Coturnix japonica: one gene and its partner. Each later gene encodes a partner of the first gene's protein in a complex. Links are inferred from orthologs where the notes say so. Each region holds a gene or a part of one and is shown on either strand. Other genes may lie near its edges. The genes, in order: TRAPPC9 and TRAPPC12.

The links.
Region 2: TRAPPC9 (region 1) and TRAPPC12 share a complex: the UniProt entries of both Homo sapiens proteins name them as parts of the multisubunit TRAPP (transport protein particle) complex. The link is inferred for Coturnix japonica from reciprocal best matches to the Homo sapiens genes TRAPPC9 and TRAPPC12.

Annotation. Positions count from the first base shown.
Region 1 is NC_029517.1:130,719,620-130,722,746, reverse strand, and holds part of TRAPPC9 (trafficking protein particle complex subunit 9), read left to right. Parts: intron 1-1,901; coding exon 1,902-2,081; 3' UTR 2,082-3,127. UniProt on the Homo sapiens protein: Functions as an activator of NF-kappa-B through increased phosphorylation of the IKK complex. May function in neuronal cells differentiation. May play a role in vesicular transport from endoplasmic reticulum to Golgi.
Region 2 is NC_029518.1:85,500,330-85,503,331, reverse strand, and holds the end of TRAPPC12 (trafficking protein particle complex subunit 12), read right to left. Parts: intron 2,939-3,002; coding exon 2,851-2,938; intron 885-2,850; coding exon 642-884; 3' UTR 528-641; downstream 1-527. UniProt on the Homo sapiens protein: Component of the TRAPP complex, which is involved in endoplasmic reticulum to Golgi apparatus trafficking at a very early stage.

The DNA of each region.
Region 1 (3,127 bases):
TCTGCCTGTCAAGAGCTGTGATTAGTGCTTTAACAGATATTTCTCCATGGGGCAACTAGATTAAGGAAAAAATGGACTGGGGGCTTCATTTGCTGCTCATCTCCACCCATTACTTGCATTAGTGCCTACCTCTGTCCTTCTCTGCACGCATCAATTCCAGTTAGGCAAAAATAAGGCAAGCAGCCCAAGCAGGAGGAAAAGGGAGGAGGAGGGGAGACTATTTGATGTTCTGCATGTCCAGACACAATGCCAGAGGGCACACGCTTGTACCCAGCGAGGAGGTGAGGTGCCAAGGACGTGGGTCAGTACAACAGCTGTGACGGCTCTCATTACTCACTAGGACTGTACGATGCTGACACAAGTTTGCTGTAGGTCAGCAAAAGTGATTGGCACCAAAGCCAAAGGGAATCTGGGCTCTGCCAGCTCTGATGATACTAACACTTGTGAATAGCCAGGTTCTGGTGTAGGAGCAGGATTTTAGGCAGCAAAGAAGCCTAATATCCCAGGTGGCTCTAAGGGATACATGTCTGCTGGCTAAAGGGCCTGGCAGTGAAAGTCCAAAAAAGCCTGGAACAGAAGAAAACAGAAGCAAACAGCTCATTTCCCAGTGATGTCCTTTGCTAGCATTTTTTTCCCCTGATTCCAGTCAAGTCGTGCACACCTGGACAGCATAGTGCTTGTGGATGCAATGCCAGAGTTTCCTTGGTAGGTGGGTTTGGGTCTCAGCTTGGCTGACCTGTGTTGTGTCACAGTCAATTGGAGTCAGCTCTGGACTCTGTATTGTGATGGACACTGAAGGGTTTGGGGATGACTAAAGAAAGCCCATTATCACTGAATATTCAAGTAAAAAGAAAGTACATGGGCACAAGCCTACCTGGGGGAGTAGGGTACTGATATCTTGAGAAATTATTCAGGGTCCAGAGAGCAGAATGGAACTGGTAGGATGGTCTTGATAGAGTGAAGACTACTACTGAGGAGCATCAGTTGCCATTAATTGAGTCTGTTCTGCTGGACTGACATTGTCTCTTCACAATCTCTCAAACAAATTCCATCCAATGGTATGACTTTGTGCCAGCTCAGTGTTTCATATCTGCAGTAACTTTAACCTGGTTCTAGGCATTCTGAAAACGGATTTAACATCTTGTGGAAGCAGGTGTTTATTGAAACAGTAGAACATGCTGAATAATTGTAGGTTAAGCTTGATAAAGTTAAAAATTACTCGAGTGTGTTGCTGAAATGGTGGAGCAAGAGATGGGCAATAAAGATATGGATCATAAATGGTTTGGTGATGAAGGGAGATATATAAATGTAGACAACGGTGCAGTGTTCAGTTTGGACAGGTAAAAACCCACTGTTTTGGGGATATATCCCATAAACTTATTTTGGTGGGAGCGAATATTAAAGATTTCTGATTAGAATTTGCAGTCAGATTGTGTCTGCATAATAAGTGGGGGCGAATTTAGTTACTGCTAGGTTGTTAAATGGTGTTTATCCATGTGTTTAGCACGAGTTCACAGCCATGATTTAGACCTTTAATGTCAATTCCGATGAATGCAGTCTAAGGGAAGATGCTCCTGATTATTCAGGACATTATGGGTGGCTTTTGCCTTAAACCAAATGGGCTTTGAAATCAGTGACTACTGGAGGTCTTCTGGTTTGAGCTGTGCCACATCACTGCTGCGTGACTGAATAACACAGGATTTTAATTTCTCATTTTACCATTGCTAGAATAGGGTCAAGAAATTTACTTCGTTTTGTGGGAAGGTGATAATGAGATGTTTAATTTATGAATATTTCTAGAGTGCTTTGAGATAATTTTAAGGAGCTACTGGCTTGCAAAGTGCAATTATTTTGTTTTGTTGCTTGTTTAATTTTACTGATTTTCACATTTGCTATTGCAGGTAAAGCCAACCAAAGACTCTGTGTACTTTGGAGCACTTCTTTTCCTCTACACGGGCGATTTCTATCTGAATATCAAATTCCATGAAGACAACTGCAGCAAGGAGCTGCCTCTCTCCTGGTTCTGCCTTCCCAGTGTCCACATCCGTGCTGTGGAGCCTGTGGCTGAAGCTAAGCTGTAAATGTGCTGTGTGCTATTTGATTAACAGCAGTATGCAGAAATGCTTGGCACATCCTCTGCTTGACCCCAGCTTGTTTCTGTCCAACCCCAGGCCACAGTCCCTATTTTGGAGGAACAGCTGAATGCTTTCTGGATTGTCTGATAGTCATTTGGGCAGCTGCTATTGCTAATTTCAGAGAGAGAGAGAGATTATAACCATGCTAGAGTTTTCCACTGATTCCAAAAAATCTTTGAAACTGCTAATATATGCATTATACTTTCATACAGCCTATTGAGATCAGTGGATTTGGTAGAGTCTTAAGTGCTAAATTTAAGAGGTTTGAACTTAACCATGTGTTTGAAGGTCTCAGCTCCAACTTAAATAATCCCTTTTTAGCATTCCAACAAGAGTTGAAATTTCTGTATGAATTTTGTCCTGGCTTACACTGGATTTCCATTACCCTGGAAGAGTAGGTTCTCTGTCAGAATAGTTCTCAGACTTGTTGCAGTTCACTTTTCTGCTGACTATTGGGTGTCTTTGGTGGTAAATAGGAGTAAAGATGCCTTTTCCTATGCTACTGGAAGTAAAAATAGTAAATATGCCTCCAGTTATTCTGTTCACACCCTGAGCTGAGTGCCACTCAGCTCCTGGTAGAGTCACTGCCTTTCCTTCTGTAGATCTATTAAGAAATGAGAAGCTAAAGAGTTTGTCCTTGAGAAAGGAAATAAGTCAACTTCTGGGTTTCCTGGGGCTTACCTGTGAATTTGGGCTTTCATTGCTCTGTTTTATACAATTATAACAGATTGAAATGTTTTCAGGCACTTAAAGAACCGCCAAAATTAATCAGCTGGCCATTCTTATCTCTTTGAATCGGTTTTTGCAAACTCATTGGATCTGTTTTTTCATGCTAGTAGATTATGTGTTGAGTTGGGTTTGGTTTTTTACCCTTCTTTTGTTTATTCTGTTGGAGTTAGTAAAACTAATTAGTAGACAATTAAGGGCATGGAACTCCTGACCATAAACTATATGACGAGTCTACTGAAAATTCAACCTGTTGTTTTTCAGAA
Region 2 (3,002 bases), on another chromosome or scaffold:
TATGCACTGGGATTTCTTCCTATCCTTAAGAAATCCCCCCAGATGAAAAAGTGACCTATGCTGGAGATGAGGGAAGGCTAATATTACTTACAATGAGCAATAGCATCTCCAGAGGTCCCTTCCAACAACCACCACCCTGTGATTGCGTATGATGGTTATCTAACAACCTCACTTGAGAGCAATGGACACACAAAGGTACAGTAGTCAATATTTGGACTGGGGGAAATGACACATGCTATTAAAGCAACTGAATAAATGTGCTTTCAGAACTGGGTTTTCCATAATATACATGGTCAGTAACTTCTGGCTGATGAAATTAGCTCAGATCATTTACTCACTAATTACTGAAAAAGGAGGCATCAAAATGAATAAGGTCAAATGCATTTTTTCTCATACAAAAATAAGAATCTGAGTAATGGAGTGTATGTATATATGCATTGTAACAAGGAATAACTAAGCAGGGGTGAAGCCGGCTGTAGGTCAGCACAAAGTCTTCGCAATGACATGAGTATTAAGAGACAACACAATAATGCCACTGATTCTTTATAACCGAATAGACTTTATGTTACATTTACACAATAGCAAGAGTATATACAACTTTTAAAATCAGCCCTGCAGGAAAACACTTCGTTGGGAATGATCTAACCTAACTTGAGACACTGAGTATTAAAGCTGTCGCCCTCTTTAACAGCCACAGCCTCTAACAGAGCCTGCTTCTTCTGCATACTGCGCGATGACTCCAACTCGTACATGGTTGTTAAGTTGAAGAGAACACTCTCGTGTAGGTAGTGCTTCGGGTCCTGCTGAACCATTCCTTCCAACTGGCGAAGGGAATCCTTCAGTTTTCCCAGATAAAGAAGACAAACAGCAGCGTTGTTATTAGCCTAAAGAAAAACAAATCGTAAGTAAGTAACTGTGTATACACATATGTATGTATTCATGAATGATAAAGGAAAAAAGAAGTCTGAAGTAACAAATTTACCATGATCTAAGAACTATTTTCTGTGCATGCTCAAGTAACGTGAATAGATTCTCACTCCTGTATTTATATCCTTTCCGTCTTTTCACAAGGTTTACCCTGTGCCAGTAGGACATGATGACTTCTGTGAGCTCACGTTCATCTGCACCAATGGAGGTGACCCACTGCTGAAATGCACCACCCACTGCCTCACCGTGCTCACATTCGCTGTTTCACAGAATCACAGAATTGTAGGGGTTGGAAGGGACCTCTAGAGATCATCGAGTCCAACCCCCCTGCCAAAGCAGGCTCCCTACACCACATCACACAGGTAGGCGTCCAGGTGGGTCTTAAATATCTCCAGAGAAGGAGACTCCACCACCTCCCTGGGCAGCCTGTTCCAGTGCTCCGTCACCCGCACTGTAAAGAAGTTCTTCCGCACATTCGTGCGGAACTTCCTATGCTGTACTTTCATCCCATTACCCCTAGTCCTGTCCCCACACACTACTGAAAAGAGACCAGACTCACCACTATGGCTCCCACACCTCAGGTAATTATAAACCTGGATCAAGTCCCCTCTCAGCCTGCTTTTTTCAAGGCTAAGATTTGGTCTCCATAAATGTTCAGCAAATGCTGATGAACATTGATGGGTGAATTTTTTTCTACATGGAGAAATTCAGAGCCACACCTTTGCTTCATTCACACTTTCATATCAGACGTCATTTTGTCAGACTGCCCCTCTGCTGCCATCTGTCACGTGGCAACAAAATGTGATGGAATATTGGTGGGAAGGTTTCCATTCCACCAATAGCCACCTCTGACATTGTGGGTCTATGTAATAAAATGGGAGGTATTTCTTTCGGAGCAGTCTTTGTAATACAGGACACTAGATAGATATCAGCTTTGAGAAACTTCACAGGCCTCTGCATGTTGTCATTTTCACAGCTTTTTTAACATTTTCACTGTATCTTCCAACACATTTTCTCTCTGGCTTATGTATAGAAGTTCCACACGAGCAACAGGAAGAAATGACCCTATCACAAAGATACCTACAACCCACTTCTGGTAAGTTCAGTAAATAGGGCAGTCTAATATATCTTAAATGATCATATCAGGTTCCACGTTTTCTTTTCCAAACATCAGGTTTTATGAGTTACCAACAGATTCCATCACCACAAAGCCATATATAATTTGTTTAGCAGCAGAAACTTTCATACTTCACAGCTGTAGATAACGGATAGATAAGGGAATATACCCTTTCAAATATTCTTTTTCACTCTCCTCAGGAACCCTTACTAGTAGATTTCTCACCGTTTATCATACGCACTGTTTCACACCTGCAAAATGATGCAATTCATGGGCTGCTTAAACTCAGTCCCCTCTGTCCTTATGTGGCCTTGGATGAGGCTGCAGGGGTAAGCTGTGTGAGTTCTCAGGAGCCACTCACAAGAAGCTGCCACATGTAAATGAAAAATGTGAATAACCTGCTCTTCTTTGATTGCCTTTTGTGATGGAAACAGAGGCTGTGATGTGCAAGGTGTTAAAATGACAATATCCCTTCAATGCTGTGTGAAAGCAAGTTAATCTCATGTACAGTGGCAGCTGCCATTACTTTTTCTGACATGCACGTCTATGCTAAAAACAGTGAGTGCAAATAAAAACAGGAAAAAAAGCTCCCAAAGATCCCATTAAACATAATGTTTTGGAATGCCTATATGCACAACTAAGTGTAAACCAGTTCTTTATTTCCCATCCTTGTCTGCACCTTACCCTTTTGTATACTAAAAAACTCAGGCACAATATCAACTCTGGGTACTTATTAAATATATGTATGAAGGTATTACAACAATAATGAAGGCGTTCATTATAAATGGAGCAATCTGGAGGTTTACCACAGCATTCGATGAGTCGATCCTTAAGATTTCTGTGAAGAATCGATGGGCTTCTGCAAAATTATTCTGGCCGAGGTGGAGAAATGCTCTAGAAAGTAAGTGACACATGAATGAGTTCTCCTGCAAAACCCAAGGTGAGAATGTATTTTAAA